Linked DNA regions of Schizosaccharomyces pombe. Changing the gene in region 3 together with the main gene of any one other region gives a genetic interaction. Each region holds a gene or a part of one and is shown on either strand. Other genes may lie near its edges.

The links.
Region 1: mutations in nem1 (region 3) and rhp26 together harm fitness more than expected from each alone (negative genetic interaction), as found in Schizosaccharomyces pombe (one large-scale study listed by BioGRID).
Region 2: mutations in nem1 (region 3) and cwf21 together harm fitness more than expected from each alone (negative genetic interaction), as found in Schizosaccharomyces pombe (one large-scale study listed by BioGRID).
Region 4: mutations in nem1 (region 3) and nrm1 together harm fitness more than expected from each alone (negative genetic interaction), as found in Schizosaccharomyces pombe (one large-scale study listed by BioGRID).

The regions. Positions count from the first base shown.
Region 1 is NC_003421.2:1,178,386-1,184,157, forward strand, and holds rhp26 (SNF2 family helicase Rhp26 ), read right to left. Parts: upstream 4,254-5,772; 5' UTR 4,173-4,253; coding exon 1,251-4,172; 3' UTR 547-1,250; downstream 1-546. Other genes in the region: thiosulfate sulfurtransferase Tum1, read right to left, coding at 1-104, 162-440; THO complex subunit Tho1, read left to right, coding at 4,411-4,605, 4,665-5,555, 5,611-5,772. UniProt on the Schizosaccharomyces pombe protein: Involved in transcription-coupled repair (TCR).
Region 2 is NC_003424.3:2,561,964-2,566,140, forward strand, and holds cwf21 (protein Cwf21), read right to left. Parts: upstream 2,288-4,177; 5' UTR 2,001-2,287; coding exon 1,998-2,000; exon of another isoform or gene 1,927-1,997; coding exon 1,048-1,926; 3' UTR 514-1,047; downstream 1-513. Other genes in the region: rog1 (lipase), read left to right, coding at 2,316-2,343, 2,508-4,177. UniProt on the Schizosaccharomyces pombe protein: Involved in pre-mRNA splicing. May function at or prior to the first catalytic step of splicing at the catalytic center of the spliceosome. May do so by stabilizing the catalytic center or the position of the RNA substrate.
Region 3 is NC_003423.3:3,371,407-3,376,102, forward strand, and holds nem1 (Nem1-Spo7 phosphatase complex catalytic subunit Nem1), read left to right. Parts: upstream 1-1,895; 5' UTR 1,896-2,058; coding exon 2,059-3,489; 3' UTR 3,490-4,146; downstream 4,147-4,696. Other genes in the region: RNA polymerase I transcription factor subunit Rrn6, read right to left, coding at 1-778; U3 snoRNP-associated protein Utp3, read right to left, coding at 4,155-4,696. UniProt on the Schizosaccharomyces pombe protein: Catalytic component of the nem1-spo7 complex which acts as a phosphatase and may be required for proper nuclear membrane morphology.
Region 4 is NC_003423.3:4,284,106-4,289,083, forward strand, and holds nrm1 (protein nrm1), read left to right. Parts: upstream 1-1,838; 5' UTR 1,839-1,936; coding exon 1,937-2,965; 3' UTR 2,966-3,255; coding exon of another isoform or gene 3,256-4,123; 3' UTR 4,124-4,181; coding exon of another isoform or gene 4,182-4,271; 3' UTR 4,272-4,313; coding exon of another isoform or gene 4,314-4,328; 3' UTR 4,329-4,369; downstream 4,370-4,978. Other genes in the region: oga1 (protein stm1), read left to right, coding at 119-492, 555-1,017; tad1 (tRNA specific adenosine deaminase), read right to left, coding at 3,256-4,123, 4,182-4,271, 4,314-4,328, 4,370-4,563; nucleoporin Rae1, read left to right, coding at 4,840-4,911, 4,962-4,978. UniProt on the Schizosaccharomyces pombe protein: Negative regulatory component of the MBF complex involved in cell-cycle-dependent transcription.

The DNA.
Region 1 (5,772 bases), on a different chromosome or scaffold from region 3:
GCATTAGGAAATAAGAAAACATGCTCATGACCAAAGACTTTAAAGGTCCAGAAAACCCTAGGAGACGAAAAAAACCCTTTTCGGTCATAAATGATAACATTGGTCTAAAATATTAGTAAAATTGAAGACTAAGTAATTGGAATTTCTAAACTACTACTTACGTTTCTGTCAATTCCTAATTTTCCAACGTAAGAGGCGAATTCGTCAGCTGGAGGAAGCATATGAGGAAGGGGATTTTTGTGATCTTTAGCCTCATCTATATCAAAGTATTGAGCACCTGGAAGACGACTTTCTAAATACTCCTTCTTTCCGTTTTTAGTGTCTGTTGGCAAGTACCAAGTAGCATCCAAGAGAACGGTTTTTTGAGCATTATCCTTTAATTTTTGCAATACGCCCTTAATAGGCAAAATAAAAGAGATTTTTTTACCAACAGAGAACATTGTTTGAAGCAGAGTCTTATTTTGTTTCAGCGAACTACATAGACTTCGAATTTCAAGTAATCTTACGAAAGTACAGCGTTGGTTGCAGCTCCCAAAATTAATTAACGAGTCAAGTTTTTGGTAAAACCAAATATGTGTGTAAAAATGGTTAGATGCGGTTGCATTGCTTATATACAAATATTAATTTATATAAAATGAAAAAGTACTAGTAATAAGTTCGCCAATAAGCACCAAGACATCAAAATTTTTGAACCACTAGTTTTCTAATTAAAAGGTCTTTTCTGACACTGTCAACAAACATGACTCTAGCATTCTAATAACGTTGACAAAAGAACGTAGTAATTTATAGCTACAAAAAGGGTTGCACGGGTTGCACATACCACTAACTAAGCCGCTTTGAGTGTTCATACTTTTCTCAGCCAACTAGAAAGTTATTAACGCTAATTTTAGGTCTCAGGTAAAGCGAATTTGTCAAGTGCTTGCTTACAATAACATTAACACACTTTAACCAAGTACTTTAACAAAAGGGAAAAATGATCAAAGTAATTCCGACAGCCCTATCCTCAACATGGAATTGACATTTCCAATACTTTTCAAGCAAAGTAAACCCACCTAGTAATAAGGATAATTCCCATTCAAAAAATGAAATGATCGCGTGTCTATCAATAAATCCATAAATAAAGCTTAAATCATGAAAAACTTAATGTACAAAATAAAGGGAAATAATAATAAATAAATAAATGGGTACAAGATTGGGTCCGAAATTTTAATGGATACAGCTTACTCTAAGGCGAACTTCTTCTAATTAATTCATCGTCTCTGTTTTAGTCGGGCAAGAAGAGTGCTTGAAGTAATCGGACCTGATGGTTTAGAAGTACCAGGAACATTAGTAGATTGCTGCGGAGGTATAAGTTGACGAGGAGGTCGCCGAAAAGATGAAACTGCACGCAGAGCTTCATTAGCAACACGCGTCGCTTCTTTTTCAACCAATATGCTTTCAGTCTGGGAGGCTTCCATGATATCGTCGTGCTTTAAAGTACTCTGAATACCAGCACTAGCAAAAATATCATCAAGGACGGAATCATCCCCTAAAGTCGAATCAGAGTTTGTCTTAGTAACATTTGACTCTTGCGGTGGTTTATACTTTTCCATCGATGCAATCCCCATTTTTTCAAACACTTTGGAGCTGTTAACTTTTTTACCTTTGTCGTGAATTTTGTGCTTTTTTCGGTCACGAGCTGGAATATCTTCAGCTTCATTGCCATTTCTTGAGGAATTATCCTTTCGAAGTACTCGTTCAGATCCCAAAAACATGCTGCCTGTCTCAGTGCCCTCAGTCTTGTTATCGCCTAACGTAAACAAATCGTGCAAGTCCGTCATTTTAAAAAACCTTCTTTGTTTTGGATCTTTCAAAATTTTGTTAGTCAGAAACTGCTTAAAGATTTGACGATGATAAATTTTTTCTTCAATAGTTCCAGCAGTCATCAACCGATAAACTACTACATCTTTCTTTTGGCCCAGTCTCCAAGCACGTTCACGTGCTTGAGCATCCGTTGAGGGATTCCAATCAGGATCAAAAAGAATTACCCTGTCAGCACCAGTCAAATTGACTCCTAATCCACCAACACGAGTAGTTAGAAGAAACACATCAAAATACTCATTTTTATTAAAGTTGTCCACCAAATCTTGTCTTAAAGCAATAGATGTGCTACCATCCATGCGACAGTAATGAACATCCGGCAAATCCTTTAATCCTATTTCCAGTATGTCGAGCATTTGGCGAGTCTGAGAAAATAGAAGAGTTCTATGTCCTTGTTTTTTCCACAAAGTTAGTAATGCTCTAATAACCTTCAGTTTGCCAGACTTTTCAGGATCACCATAGTTGTAATCTTCTTTATGTAACAAGTACTCTCGAGTTACAAGATCTGGATGATTACAAATTTTTCGTAGTATATCAATTCCATAAAGCATTTGACGCTTTCCGTTCAAGATCTTTTGCATATCAGAGCCTTGCAAAAAATCTTGGTAAGCTTTCCTTTGTAAAGGAGTCAGCTTACAGAACAATACTTGTTCGGACTTCTTAGGTAAATCTGCAGCAACGTCAAGCTTCATTCTTCTAAGTAAATAAGGAGAAATTAAATCTCGAAGCATGCAGGCGCATTTATAAGCGGTTTGCACTTGAACATTTGAAGCATTGGCATAACCACCAATATTAATAGGTAAGGCAAATTGATTTTGAAATACCGGTAATGTACCCAATCTTCCAGGAAATACAAAATCAAATAAATTCCAAAGCTCGGTAAGGTTGTTCTGGATCGGAGTCCCTGAGAGGATAATCCTATTCACAGTACGGATTTGCTTACACGAAATAGATATTTCAGAATCTGGGTTTCGTATTTTGTGCCCTTCATCCAAAACACAATAACCCCATTCCCGTGGTAAAATCAAATCACCATATATCCTTAAACCAGCATATGTTGTAATTAAAATGTGGCCTCTAGTGAAGACACTTTCAACTAAGTTCTTAGCGTATCTGTGGAATGAACTTGAAGCACCTCTTAATTTTATGGAGGTTTTGCTTTCTTCCGCTTCACTTTCAGAAGCGTCAGATTCATACTGTCTCTTTTCGCGTGAAGCACGCTGTCCGCTGCCAGTAGCATGAAGAACAACAACACGTAATGGAGCCCACCATGTATGAAACTCATTAACCCACTGCTTCATTAAAGTCGCTGGACAAACGATAAGTGCAGGCTTTTGAAATTTGCCAGAGTGATGCAAAGACGAAAGGAAAGATACTATTTGAATAGTTTTTCCTAGTCCCATTTCATCACCAATGATTCCTCCGGCCTCTTGACAATAGAGTTCCCATAACCATTGTACGCAAGTGACTTGATAACGGAAAAGATGTGGGCGAATATCACCTGGGATGGTAAATCCACCCTCAAAAGTCTGTCCTTTTTTGGAAGGATGAGGTAGTAACCACTCATCTTTACCTTCAAACTCTCCTCTATCTTTATTGTTTTCAGATGCTGAGGCCTGATCTCGTAATTCCTTACGATTCGCACACCAAGCATTAAGCCTTTGTCGATATACCAAATCATCTCCATCATCTATAGCGGCAGTTACTACTTTCTCCGTAACAGCATCCACAGTTACGTACTCATCTTTTTCGTCTCTTGGAATAATCCCATGATCAATATTTGACGGCTCCGAACTCAAATGAGGTGCCGTTTCATAGTATGTTCCTTCAGACTTTATAACAGCCTCACGAATGCTAGATTCATCATCAAAATCAACTTCTTTTTGTAGTCCAGAGAGATTTCGAAACGGTGTAACCTTACCAGTACGGATGAGCTCTTGTCTTTCCAATTCTTCAGTCGAAAATGCACCTATACCAGGGGCATTTGCCGAATCTTCGTTATTAAGTCTTCTCTTAATATCATTTTCGTCTGATTGTAAACTTTGAAGAGTGTCTCGGAATTTAGATAATTGTTTGCGGAAGTTCTCCTTGACACTTATTTTTGTAAGTCGACTGTCTATACGCTCATCAAGGCGACGTATTTTTTCTTTTACAGAAGATATTTCTTTCCTGACTTTTTGAAGTCTCTTCTTTTCGATCTCTCGACTTTCATGTGCAATGTACTCACTAGCAGTATTCGTAACATCGCGTTCCAAATTCTCTTGGTCAACCGAAAAAACCCCTAAATGGGATAGATCTTCATTGACACTCATATCCTATCAATTTCTTAAATAAAGTCTCATTTTCAGACTCACTGCAAATTTAAGAAAATACTTTGTTGTTTGGTTAAGGGCAAAATTACATATTCCTTCATGCTGCTCCTGTTATAGCGAGAAGCAATGAACCACACAAAGCAATAACGAATAAATCCTTATTTCTAAATGACATTGTCAATGCTAGATAAACTCACGTTTCTGCGCGCGGATTGTATATTCGCAGACTTTTAAAGTAATGGAGGTGCAAAAGGGTTTAATTGAAGCTTTTTATAATACATATCCATTAGAAAAGGCAAAAGAACTGGATAAGAGTCCACTTTGTTCTGAATATGAATTATTCATCAAAGAATTATGGCCTTCGATTGTTGAGAGTTTTCATAACTCAACTGAGTTTGAAACGGCAATAAGATTTTGCTGTTATGAAACAGCAGTATGTGCTTTTTCCATAATGAAGTTTTCCTTAAGTTACTAATTGTTATTTTCGTGTAGCGCAAAAGTGAGATTGGATTGGAGGAGCGATTAAAATGTTTATTTGCGATTTTGGATCTCTTAGTAATAGGGAACGAAATTAACGAAAGCTTCTGTGATCACCTGTTGCCTTTTCTAATCTTGGAAGAGCTGATGGACATTCACACCGTCAACGAATGCGCCAAATTATATGAATATTTTGAAACCAGACCTAGCTTGATGAAAGGTATTGTCAGCAATCGTGGAAGAGGACCCGTTTTGCTTCGGATATCAAATGAATTACTCCGGCGTCTTTCTCGGCAAGAAAATTCATCTTTTTGTGGGCGGATCGATATTCTGCTAAGTAAGGCTTTCCCCCCTGAAGAACGGAGTGGAGCCAATTTACGTGGAGATTATAATACTGTTCATTCTTTTGGGAAGGTAGAACTGTCACCACCATCCACACCCATTTCGGACCGAACAGACCTCTCATATCACAAAAAACTTAATACCTTATTTACTGCTTATTGGGATTTGCAGTGTATGTGCTCCAACCCTCCTAAATTACTAGCAAGTGATACCTTACCTAAGTTTATAGATGCAGCTGGTTCTGCAATACAGGCATTCGAATCTATATTACAAAATACGTTCTTCAATGGGAAGTCAAACCCTACAATTGATCCAAACTCTAGCTCATTACTTTCTGAAAAATATATAACTTTGGATAAAGGATTTCCTTCTAAATATATATATTCTCGGTCGCTTTTTGAATACCAACTTTCAGATGAAGATTTCCGGTTACAGGCTATTTTACAATTAATTATTATTTTCGACTTTTTGCTTGACCATTCTAAAGAACGAATTGAAAGGAGAACTCTTGAAAAATGGACAAATAAGGCGGTAATTCCCATTGTTATTTTGTCTGACGAAGATGTATGTTCTTTTTTAGACTCGAAAAAAACTGATTTTATTGATTGCTAATATGTAGACCTCAAAGTTAAATGAATTATCCAAAGAAGCATATAGTTTCTTACATACTGCCCGGTGTGGTTCTGTGCAAAGAACCATTAAAGAAATTATACATATTGAGGGTAATTGGAAATTATGGAAAGGGCTTGGCTGCCCTTCCCTTGAAAAACCCCTAGTAGAT
Region 2 (4,177 bases), on a different chromosome or scaffold from region 3:
TAACAAACAAGCTAGTCGAAAATTTTTAACTAGTTTTTAATTCAGATTTCGATAGAGTAATCGCGTTAAATATATTTACCTGTCCAATAAAAAATTTCGATGAAAAAATGTTTTTTTTCTTTTCAATTATCTACAGAAAACTAATTAATTAATGCTTTGCGACTTAGCAAGAAGTTGTAATACGTGTTTAATGTACTGTAGTATCTAGGAAATTGAAAGTTATATGAAACAATAGATATTTATTTTAAAAAAGTTAAAGCGATTGGAAATCAAGATTTGAATGTATGATTAATTTTGTTTAGAAAAAAAAATGGGTTTTCTCTCAATGTCGCAGTGTCATCCTTGTGCAGGGGCCATGCTCTAAACAACGAGTTAGTATGACTCGAACCTTGGTAAATATTGTTACTTACAATCTTCTCTGTATCGTTTCAATTTGACCAAAGTGATCCGAAGATCATCAGAAAATAAAAATTGTATTATTTATAATTAAACTTATATTATAATTTTTTTTATAAATTGGTTTTATTATATAATTAATATTGCTTTAAAGCAAGTTCATTTTGTAAAATATATATAATAAACATTATTGGTATAAAAGCTCTGAGATTTACAGTATGCAGGAAAACAAAGCCGCCAAGAGCTACTTTGACTAAAATCGCGTGAATAATCTCGAAAATCTTTATTAAAAAGATTCTTTTATGCTTAATTAATGAATTTAAAATACAAATGTAAAAGCGTAATTGTAAATTTAAAATTGCTTCATTATCCCTCCGTGAAAAAGAAAAATATCAAATGATGTTTAAATCGTGCAACTTAACAGCCTTAATATAAAGTCGATAGTATTTTTTCTTTGAAGAATAATATTTTTTATATCATTGAACAGTCGTGTGCTTCATGGGATTTGACTAACGTGTATTGCTAACCAAATATTCATATTAATCCAACGATTGTTGATGACCCGAATAATTATCCAATATTAATAAACAATACATGCTTGCATGAATTGCCTATTATATTATTGTTTTAACTGGCCTAACTCTTTGGGCCTCATACAATTTCGCCACCCTCAGGAGAGGAATCCCTGTCCACAACAGGAATTGACTCATTCTTCGTATAGGAGGGTGAATTGCTTCTTTCTCTCCTTCTATGATAAGAATACCTTTCCCGTTCATCGTGTCTATTATAATCTCTTCTGGGTAATTCAGAACGCCTTGAGTAACTTTCATTACTACTCCGTCGTCTTTCTAATTCATCGTAGGAGGAATACGAATCGTAATGTCTTCTTCTATTTTCATTGTAATTGTCCACATGCCTTTTTGAATTTAATGATTTCCTCTCGGAATAACGCGGGTAATCATAATAATCATCGTCAACTGATGATCTCAAATCGTCTCTTTCTTCTAATCGCCCATCATCGTCATTTTTCGAGTGAAATCCTCTTGTTTCTTTTCTTTTCTGAGGTTGAAGAATGGATTCAAAATTTTTTCCTTTTTCAGTAGATTTTTGTAATTGCAATTCTTTAAGTAACTGTTCTCGATATTTTTGTACTAAAATTTCTACATCAGCTTCATCTAAAGATTTAGTTTTCGATTGTGATTGCTCATCTTTTATAATTGCTTTAGGTGGCTTCGGGTTTTCAGTCCCAAAATTTGTATTGGAATCAGATGCCGCTGCATCAGTGCTGTGTTGGGAACTGACCTCCTCCAACAACTGCTCTCTGTACAACAACAACTTCGACTCAATTTGTCGACGGCATTCATGCTCGCTTATTGAAGGATCTTGAACCCGTTTTTCCAGAGCTTTTGCATTTCGATTTGACTGTAGATTTGTATTTTTGTCATATTTTTTTACGTGAGACAGATTCCGCATTACGTATCCATTTGTTCCTGATCCTCTTGGAGTGGGTAATCCAATTCCATTATACGACTTTAATTGTTAGCAAAGGACTCAATTTTGGTGTCTTCTTCATTAAAGAAAGCTTTTTATGCATCTCTTACCATCTTGCTTTATTTCCCGTGAAGTCGTTCGATTTTTGCTTTTGCTCAAAAATTAGAAAAACTGAGTTTATATAGGTTCGTCGAACAGCTAGTCTAACAAAGGAATCGAGCGAACAAATTTTACCGGTAGGACACTGATAAATTCGCGTTACTTTTTACGTGATATGAGCAACTAGCGATTTACTAATTGAAACAGATAAAATTTTATCCCTATTCGTTGACCGGTATTGAAAAATAATTGATATCTCTCACCTTTCACGAATAGCTAATTTTCAGATTTACTAGTTTTTGAGTTGTCATCGCTTGACTTCTGACATTATGAATGTATATGTACAACGAGATGACGGTAAGTTACTTTAAACAAAATTTACCACTCCTTTAAATTGTATTTGCAAGTTGATATTATCAGCTCGTTATTTAAAGTTTCGATTTGTTATGCTTGTTTCGATGCAAAAATTTTGGGATGGCATATAAATATTTAATACTTGTTCTAACATTGGCATGGTACAGTTGGTTTAGGTCAAATACATCGATTTCGAATTTTTGTGCAGAGTGGGGGCAATTTGCATTCGGCAACGTCTTCTACAACTGTGCCCCCCACTGTGAACCTCAATTCAGTGACTAAGAAAGAGAGTGGTAGCATCGAGGATAGAGCAGGTTCAGGTGGGATGACAATCTCTAGTGGGGAGAATATCAGCAAGCAAATCTCAGAGAATAATAGTAGCACGAATCCGAAGCATGCAAATTCAGAATCCTCACCTCTTCTTTCCAGCGATTTTTCATCTTCTTCAAAAGATTATCATAAAGTTGGTGCGTTTACAGATAATACCAATGCAATCAACATACCTGAACAAACAAGAGGTGTCTCTCATACCTCTTCTTCTCCTTCTGTAGGTACTTCATTCTCTTCTATTAATCTTCGTGAAGTAAAAAATCCCTTGGCAGGAAGCGACTCTACAGCTCCCTTCATAAATTCGACTAACTCGGTACTTTGGATTCGTGTCAGGAATAGAGAAGCACGTTTCCGCCAGGCAGCCTATCTTCAAGGTCCATTTACATTATGCGTTAGCGTTTGGAATGACCAATTTTTTGATGAAAAAAATTCTTTATTAAACTTTGATCCTCAGGTACAGCCCTCTACTAGTTTTTGGGTCTGTGTACCTTATTCATGTTTTTCCAATCAGCAGCCTATTTACATTGAAATTGCAAGTCAGGCGATTTTTAAAGATAGATCTATTAACTTTGAGCTTGCTATATCGCAATCTCAACATTCCATTCGAGCCATGTCAGCTGCTGATATCGATACTCTTCATGCATTCCCTGCTCTACACGTTGAACATCAAACTCCGGAAAATTTATGGCGTCTTCCGTATTCTTCATTTCATTCAAAGAATTCACATTTGGTGGTGCTAACTCATGGAATGCATTCTAATGTTGGTGCTGATATGGAGTATTTAAAAGAAAAACTAATAGAATCATCAAAATCTGTTAAGGAACTAGTAGTTGTTCGAGGATTTACCGGTAACTACTGTCAGACTGAGAAAGGGGTTCGCTGGCTGGGTAAACGACTTGGTGAATGGCTGTTGGATATTACGGGCTGGGGAAGTGCATCTTTTCCTCGATATTCCCATATATCAGTTGTCGCCCACTCACTTGGTGGATTGGTTCAAACATATGCTGTTGGTTATGTACATGCAAAAACGCACGGTGCCTTTTTTCAGGCTATTCACCCTGTGTTTTTTGTAACTTTGGCAACTCCTTGGCTCGGTGTTGCTGGTGAACATCCTTCTTATATTGGTAAGGCTTTGTCCTATGGTATCATTGGTAAGACAGGACAAGACTTATCTTTAACTCCACTGAATCACTCCATTGAATCAAGACCTTTCCTTGTTTTGATGTCTGATCCTTCCACGCCTTTCTTTCAAGCTGTTTCGTTTTTTGAAAAAAGAATATTATTTGCAAATACTACCAATGACTATATCGTCCCTTTTGGAACTAGCGCAATGGAAGTTAGTTCTTTGGGTAAGGTAGAGGAAGCTGAGGGTTCAGATAAGGTTATGCCTACGCATATGGAAAATGGCATTTCACCAACACTAAAAGAAAATGAGCAAACAGTTCAAAGTGTCGGAGATAATGCAAAGAAAATCCATGCTTCTTCAGAAGAATCTGGATCTTCATTT
Region 3 (4,696 bases):
CGGACAAGCATCCAGGTGTATTTGGCTCATCTAAGAACATTAAATCATAAGTTACCTGGAATATAACCAACTCACAAGACGATAATGCGAAGAGCAAACTTGGTTCTCCATTAGAGAAAACCAATTGTCTCACTGGTTGTGAGAATTTCCATATTGGATCCTCAGCAAACTCAAAAGCCGATACATTCAAGTAAAATGGGAATTCTTCAAAAGTTGCAGTATTTTGTAATGTCGGAGATGCACGAAAAATCCATGGAGACGAGAGGCATAAAAAGAGGAGATTTTCCGCAGTTTCATTGCTAATCTTGCTACAAGCAAGACATTCAGTTGTGGTGTATCTGTTTTTATCTGATGGCGCTGTTTTACCCAAGCAAAAAGTATTTAAAATATGTGGATTATATATAGACTCAGCAGAAGAAGCTAATTGAGACTCTTTCGCTAGTGTAGAAAATAAATTTCGCGGAACATATCTGCAAACACTTAAACCAAATGAACTACTAGTCGCTTTACGCGTGGAATTGGTGGCCTCAGCAGGAAGCTCAGTTAATTTAGGGAGTTTGTAGTTTGGATTTAAAGATAAGATATCCCATCTTTTGTCCAAGTCAACAAGCTCGACGCCCGTATAGGAGTCATACCTAGCAAAAGTCCATTCATTATTTTCAACCTTCTCCGCTCTGTGATAGCCAGATGGATTTAAAAGTTGACACGCCCCTATAATTCCATAATCCAAACTTACACTAGGTTTTTTACTAATTGCATCAATAGGCCATGTTGACATGAAGATAATTAGAAAAATAAAATTAGATTGAATTGTGTTTACAAAAACACATCTAACGACAATACAAGAGCAACCTAGCGACAAAGCAAGTAATCAGTGTTTCAAGGAAGCAATGCTGGAGTAATTTCACCTATAGTTAAGAACTTGACTTTATTGTTATACTATAATATATTTAAAGTGCTATCTTTAAACCATTATATAATTATATAAAATATAACTCCTACCGACTACATGCTTTCAATTGAACAATTTATTGATTTATGTTAACTGAGAATTTCTCTTTACTAGAAAAAGATGAAGTTTAAAAGTAATACTTAAATTAGTCATAAGACAGTGTTCAAGTAGGAGAGGAGTTCTTCTCCGAAGTCTCTAAGCTGCTATCAATTACATGTAGATTAACACAGCAACAAAACAATCTCCTTTACAATGAAATGCAAACGCTTACGATTTTGGAATGATTTAGCAATAGATAAATTGGTTTACGAATGTTGCATTAGCCCAGTTTTCCCTTTTCATAAAAAATACGTAAGGAGGTGCTGATACCTGAGGAAGAGTGCAATATTCAGATTAGCAAGTGTTTTGAATTCTCTTTAGTGTCCGCTTAACCAATTTTATCGATATGTTTATAATTTTGTAAAGTCAATAAGTTAGTTCAGCCTGTTATTTGTAAGTAATTTATTGTATGCAACGTCTAAAGGAGCTTGATACATTTTAACGTACCATTAAATATATTTAGACTTAAAAGCATCTTTCAAGTAATGTCAAGAAACCTAAAAAGACCGCTCGGCGACTTACATTCTAGCAAAACGTTGATTAAAAGAATGGCAATTAAGCTAGCTTCTACAAATATTTAGACTTTTAATAAAATGAAAATTAATTTTTCTTGCACAGAAACCCATACAAGTAAAGTTTATTAGTTAAAAAAAATGAAAGCTTCTGCAATGAACTTTCATTTTACGAACTTAATAAATATTTACACCGTATTGTTTACATTTAAATTTGTTACTTTAAGGTAGTTTTGATATATCTTCTTAAGCATTACGTCTTATGAAAATGTTATTATTTGGGTTGTAGTTCATCATTATATATATTGTGCATCGTACCACCGTGTGATTCTGGCTTTGTTTTCCCACATATTTTAGGTCTAACTAACACATATTTAATTAATTACTCTTTTTTACTAAAAGGACTCTGCTTGGTCGTTGTATACTTTGTATGCATCGCTTCTTTTGGTGAATTTTTTAATTCTTTGCAATCGCAGCAGAGAGAAAATAATTGTAATGAATTCGATTGCTAGGCTATCAGATGAAATTAATAAAGCAATCCTTGCCACTCCTTTAGACGACGATGAAGCTGACAAAGAAAAACTTGCTAATGCTCGGGGGCGAGCTTCATCAGCTACTTTGAGGCATTATAATCGTCGTAGATCGTCTTATTCGGCGTCCAGCCTTAGCAGTTTGTCATCAAAACCGACGGAAAAGGAAGTTCCTACAAGGAATGAAAAACCGAAGCATGCCAACATTATGCGTGTTGTCGTCTACTGGATTCGTGTGTTCCTGAAACGAATTTATACGTTTTTCGTTCATTCCGCTCGTGTATTTTTGTACCACTTTTTGAATGAAGAGAAAGAGTTTACCCTTGCAAGTTTTTTTTGGGGTCTATGCCGGTTTGTCTTTTTTCCTGTATTATTATCGTATAAACGCCGAGAGATGCTTCCCCCTCAGCCAAGTGTCCGCCGTCCTAGGTTTTATTCTTCTTATTCTTACCCATCCTCTCACCAGGATCCTGCCTATTCATCTTTCAAACGACATAGATCTTCTAATTCTTATAGCAGTTCTTCTAATGGAAATCATGTTCGTTTTCAGCCCTCTATTGCAGAAGAAGAAATTTCTTTCAATTCTTTTTCAAATTCATTGAATTCAGAAGAAGATGTGTGTGTTTCTCCTATGAAACCCAAAGAGGTCTCCCTAATGGGAAAAGCAAATTCCAATCGTTCAGGACATTCGCATCAACCTCAATCAACTCAGTTTTCCCCGCCTGCTAATGACAATATTTCTAAGCTGCCTTCCTCCTTTACGATAGTTAATGATCCTCTTAAATCTCCTTCTTCTTCCCGTCTCCGTATTAGAAACATTACTCTGTGTGCGGACAAAATACCGAGGCCTTTGTTGAATAGCAAGTTACCGAGAAAGACCCTTGTATTAGATTTGGATGAAACACTTATCCATTCCGTGTCTCGTGGTAGTCGAACGACTTCTGGACAGCCAATTGAAGTACATGTGCCTGGTGAACATCCAATCCTTTACTATATTCACAAAAGGCCTCATCTTGACTACTTTTTATCAAATGTGAGTCAATGGTTTCGCCTTATTTTGTTCACAGCATCTGTCCAGCCATATGCTGATCCAATAATTGATTATTTGGAGCGTGATAAAAAAATATTTGCTAAACGATACTACCGTCAACACTGTGCACTTGTCGATAGTTCTTTCGTTAAAGATATTTCCATTTGTAATATTCATCTTTCACGGATCATGATAATTGATAATTCTCCAGCCAGTTACAATGCTCATAAAGAAAATGCCATACCTATTGAAGGTTGGATTAGCGACCCCTCTGACGTTGATTTACTAAACTTACTTTCTTTTCTTCATGCACTGCAATATGTTCATGATGTGCGAGATCTTTTGGGGCTTCGTCTCGCAAAATAAGTGCTTTTCATGATTCCTTTTTTTTTTCGTGAGTAATTTACTCGTTATTTATCACCAGTAACGATGGTCTAAAATAACTTTTTCTACTGCATTAACATCTTGGGTGCCTTTCCTTTCTCATCATCAAACTTCTTTGTTATAACCTCAAAAGGGTACCTTTTGGATATTTCCTAGACCGCATTTGGGCCATTCCAGTTAAATAATTTTTGTTTCTTTTTGCTGATAATATGTCAATTAATGTAAGCCTAATCGTAAGAAATTCTTTCTAATAAACTAAACGCATGTTTTAAGAAAGATTAGTTTCTGCACTGATGTTCGCAGCAATTACGAAGGCAACTTACTTATGAAATTTCTTTCTAAATCAAGCTTTTAATAAACATGTTTATTCTATTTAAGTGTTGATTCTTTTTTTTTTACTTTTCAATCTGTTATTACAATCAACTTACTTAATCAGGATGGGCAAAGGATTATAAATGATTTAATGATTATAAACCAGATTACATAGACTTTTAGCATTTTAAAATCATATCACTAGGCTAACGACATTGTTCTAGCAAATAACATAACCCAAAACCACATTATTATTATATGTATCTAATAACACGAAAATTCAAAAAACCTAATATATGCAGAATTAATAGTTGAATCAATACCAACCACCACTTCTATTGAAGTTTAATACTTTTAACTAAACCAGCTTTAATACCAGTCTGCTCACCAGCATAGCCGCCCTGTGGTGCGCCCTTGTAAATAGCCTTTTTGCTGGCTAATTTCTTCTTAGCTTTTTCGTAGCGCATACGCTTTTTAAGTCGAGGATTTCTATTTTCTTTAGGTCGACGGGGAGTTAATCCTCTATTTTTAGCAATGTCTAAAGTAATTCCACGCTTATCACCTTCACCTAATTCAATTAGTTCTGGGTGCCTTGAAGCTCTTATTAAATCACGTTCGAGATCGTGATTTTCTTTACGGAGCTTTTTAGCCATCTTTGATTTTTTATCGAGAGACTCGTAATAATCCAAATCATCTTGATCTTCAACTTCACGATCGACATTTGCAGGTATGCCCATTGATTCCGGATCTTCATCATCAAGATCAGCACCAGCATCCTGATTTCGACCCCTGGCTGCAGCTTCTCTCATCAATCGCTGCTGGCGTTCAAATCTTCGTTCTTTGTATGGCATGTCCAAATCACCTGATAACTCCAGTA
Region 4 (4,978 bases), 910 kb from region 3:
AAGACGCTCAAGTATTAAAAAATATAAATTCACATTTCGTTCATTATTCTTTAGAGTGTTAGCTCTGCAGACTCTGCTGATTTTTATTTTGTTTTCGCAAGTAGTAACCAAATTATAGAACCTCTTTGACCTCCTCGGAGAGGAGACTCCCGCAGCTACTACTACCGAGAAGAAAACCGCTGCTTCTCGTGACAAAAAGCGCTCCGACAGCCCTCCTGTCCCCCGCGAATTAGTCGCTCAAAGCACCACCTCTAGGAAGCGTGACCCTAACCAACCCACTCCTCGTGAGCGTACCGTTAATAAGAAGGCAGACCAACCTCGCAGACGCCGTCAAGCTCCTCAAGGAAACGAAGCCTTTGCTCGTGAAGGCAAAGAAGCTCGTGCTAACAACGCTGCCCATCCTGTGGATGCCACTGGCGCCCCCTCCAACCGCCGCAATGCTCGTGCTCGCCGTGGTCGTGAATTTGACCGCCATAGCCAAACTGGTAGAGTGTATGTGTTTTATTTTTCTACATGTGAATGCCAAATTATATAATTGCTAACCATTATTTTAGTGATACCAAGAAGGCTACTGAACGTGGCTGGGGTGATCTCGTAAACTCTGCTGCTAACCCTGATGTTGCAGAGAACGAAGGTAACACTCCCTCTGGAGCCCAAACTCCTGCTGCCGAGGAGGAAAATGTTAAGACTCTTGATGAATATCTGTCTGAACGCAAGTCCGCCGCAAAGCCTGTTGGTCGTACTGTTGAGAAACTTGAAAACGCTACTAAGGTCGAGAAGAGTGCCCCCGAAGAATTGTTTGCCTCTCTTAAGAAGAGCGCTTCTCAAAAGAAGTCTGCTGCCAAGGAAAGCAAGCCAAAGAAGGTTCTTCTTGATATCGAGCAAACTTTTACTGCTCGTCCTGCTCGCGGTGGCCGTCCTAACCGTGCTCCCCGTCGTGGTCCTTCAGAAACTGCCTCAAAAACCCAACAGGCACCTCCCACCCTTTCTGAGACTGACTTTCCCGCTCTTGCATAGATGAACTGGTGACTTGAGAGTAGCCTATTGATGTGGAGCGTTTGATTGGTCTTGGATGAAATTTCGTTGTCAAGCGTATGTGGAAAGGTGTGTGTTATCTTACAGATCCCTTTTTGTTTATTTTCCATTGAGCATCATTCGGGTTTCTAGGTTATTCAGTGATTCTTATCATTAAAGCGGTCTAAGGTGTATTCTGTGGTTGCATTCCCTTTTTTGATCCACATTTTGCGATGAATTGACTAAATATTTTTCAAAATGGTCGAATACTAGTGTGTAAAAAAAATTTCATTCTCGTATCTATTCACAACTAATATTAAGAAGATGCGCGTTTAAATCGTCTACCGACTGTTATCTTGATATAACGTATCTTATTTTTAATCTGTAAATATCAGCCTTAGTAATTGTGTACATAACAAAAGCATATTTCAGTGTACGGTAGGTCTGCCTGTGCAATTCACAAATACTCCATTTATTATTCCAATTGATTTTGTCATTTTCAAATGTCGTTTGCAGGGATATTGAAACGGACGTTGAATAAAGCCTTCTTAACCTTGTAAAATGACTATAGGAAAGTTATGAACGAGTTTGTGTATCGGTAACATAACAGGTAAATCACTCTTCATAATGCAAATTGCGGTTTACTTTTTATAGCATCATTTTTGATAGCTATTTAAAAAATTTGAAAGTTAATATAATTAATAAACTCGAGGATATGAGCAAACTGATAAAACGCGCTATATCGCGAATTCGCGCTTTAAAGGGCGTCGCGTCGCGTTGCGTTGGACACCGCTTATATACGTGCCACAAGTACGCAACAATCGACGAGTCGCAAAAAAACTGTCTCTGATTATTACTTTTCCTTCTGATTCTCTGCTACTAGGAATCTTTATATTGGTTTCCGTTTAGAAAAAATAACAAGATGGATAGGTCAATGGAACCATTGACCCCATCTCGTTTAAACACTTTGGGGGAAAGGCCAACAAACGAAGTGTATGAGTATGGAAAAGGAAAAAATGTGCAACATTTATTTCCTATAACACCGATGCAGAGACCATTAGGAAAAGAGAATGCGGCTCCAGGGACGATTTCACCGATTGCGGTTCGATCTCGAAATGTGCGTGCAGTAGAAATTGCAGATGAAAATGCATGTGAAGAGCCAGTCTTAAAAATAAAATCTGTTAGTAGTACGGAGAGTGAAGAGGAAAAAGAATCTTCTACTGAGATAGGAGAGAAACAGGAAAAAGAAACACATTTAGAACCCAAGACACCAGTACAAACCAATACCAACAATAATCACTTAGACGACATTCAGTGTTGTGCTAAAAACTTACGCTTACGTCTTGAATTGGCTATGTATAAAGTACAAGTTAATCAAACATTTTCCCCTCTGCAAGATCTTCCCATTGTCGCTAAAACGAAGCTTCACAATTGTCCAAACTCTGAACCTGTTACCTCCATATGGAACCAGAGATCGCTTTCTTCTGGAAAGCCTCCGTCCTTACATCTTTCAGGGAATCGCAGGCTTTCCATGGGATCTCCCACGAAGTCGATATATGATCAGAATGGTTTGACAACGCCAAGACCGATCGGTTCTGATGATCTAACACATATGTATGATCCTTATACCTCTCCTTTACGCACCCCTTCTCGTACGCTATCACGCTCCTCCTCTCATTATCTGTGGGTTCGTCATGGTAAATTGACACGTAGCGTATCTCTTTTACAACATAAAACGCCTAGACGCATTCGGCCAAAATCACTTTCTAAAAGCAATTCTACACCGTTAAAGCATTTAAGCGCTCAGAAACCAAATTCAAATTACTATACTGGCCCGCCTACTCCAGTATCCATATCCAACACTCCAGAAAACATTCATCCATCATCTTCCGAAGTAAGGCGTATTGCAAGTCACAGCAAGCAATTTTCAGACTATGGTTTAATTCGATGATCCTTCTTTTTACATTTTAAACCGAGTTATGGAATAATGTTATGAGATGATTTTTATAATACTTTAATTACTCTAGTTGTCGTTCATTTCCTTTCTGACAGATTTCTATATGTGAATTATTTTGAAATGCAAAAAATAACTTTTAATTCCTCGCAACACGTTCTTTTATTTCTTACTTGTTATGTAACAAGTCAGTCGTTAATAAAATTATTATCGCTGGTAAAGCCATCCTTCGTTTTATTTAATGCCTTAATTCATACGTACATCTTATATTGAGGTTTCTAGATTTCTTATATCCATTGAAATTCGTTCCCTCCGTTTGGGATCCAGTTTTTTAAGATATTACGAAGAATTTGCTTTTGCTGGCAACGTTTGATGTTGAGTTTCTTCCATTCATAATAGTTTTTTTCATTAGTCAACGATTGACTTAATTGATGCAGCAAATTCATCATACTCTTTCTACATATTAATGTTTGAGACTTTTCAACGTCTTTAGCTTTTGTTCCCGCTTTAATACCATTATGTATCACTTGAGTACACTGCATTTTATCACCGATCCATATCAAAACGTTTGTACTAGTTGCAGTTTTTTCTGCTTGGTTCAACGGCCGTGAATATAAAAAATTTTCATCCGTTTCCAGCACGGTAAAAGGATGAAAGTAATAAGGATTATCCTTTTCTCCAAATTCAGCAAGTGGTGCGCACCGACCAAAGGGTCCAAATGCTCTGTCAATTGCTGATTTAACTATCACTTTTTTATAAAGCACTACACATGATAAATAGATGGGCTCACAAATGAGGCTGGTCTGGGAATTCAAAATAGAAAGATATTGTTTTGCAGCTAATTTATCAGTACAGCTTTTGCTCCAGCTTACTGGGGCATCAGGTCTCCCCGGTTTAGTACGCACGATTCCAAGTAGTCCAAAATCCGCCCTCCCACGCATTAATTTCTCTGAATCAACTGTTAAGTTCCATGGTTTGTTGTTTTCCAAGCGGCTAGCTAGTAGCTCCATACTCGCATCTCCGCAAGGACATTCGGAAACGTACAGATGTATCAGAAGATTGCTGTTTAGAGTAAATTTACCATTATCAGCAACTTCAAGAAGCCACGTATCTTTCTTTGATTCTTTAATTAAAATACAATGTTCGAGAAGTAATCTTAATTCTTTTATTAGTAACGAATACTAACAAATATACAAATAATTGTATATATTACCTGTTAAAACATCTTAATGCCAGAATCTCAGCATGACAATCATGTAATACACTACCCAGTTGTTCATTCTTAATGATGCCAGCTGGCGTACTAAATTGACTTGTTAATGAAAAAAATCAATTGGTAGCATACCATTTTACACCTGTTCTTTAGATGTCAGTTTACCGATATTAATAAAAAAGACGTACGCTAGACAAACACAAATAAATTCGTTCTCCATCTTTTTCTGAATGACAACACCGGCTAAAGTAGTCCATTCACGCACCCCATTTGCTCTTATGATCGGTTTGCCATGACGGGCTAGTTCATCAAATTTGTTAAGGACTGCAAGAGCTATTAAATTCCCAACATTACTGTTTCTATCTAGGGTAAATTCTTCCATTTTCTAATGAATTTCATAAATCCATACTTTATATTCAATTGTATTAAGAAAAGAGTACTTCGGGAGCGTAAATCCTGTGATATGTTGTGACCGTAATTAAATACTAATATTTTGTTTCCAACTGTTAATTAATAACAATTGGGTATTCCTAATAGCAAAGCTTATTCGCTGTAAGTGATTGAAGTACAAATGTTGGCAAAAGCATTTGTGGTAGTGTGTTGAAGCAAGTAATTTTGTCTGCATACGAGTAATTTACCAACTACCACAACTATTAGAATGTCACTTTTTGGACAGGCTACAACATCTACAGTATCTAATGCAACCGGTGACTTAAAAAAGGATGTGGAGGTTTGTTAATTTTACATATACGCTACTTACATTTGCTAATTACACGATAGGTTGCCCAACCCCCGGA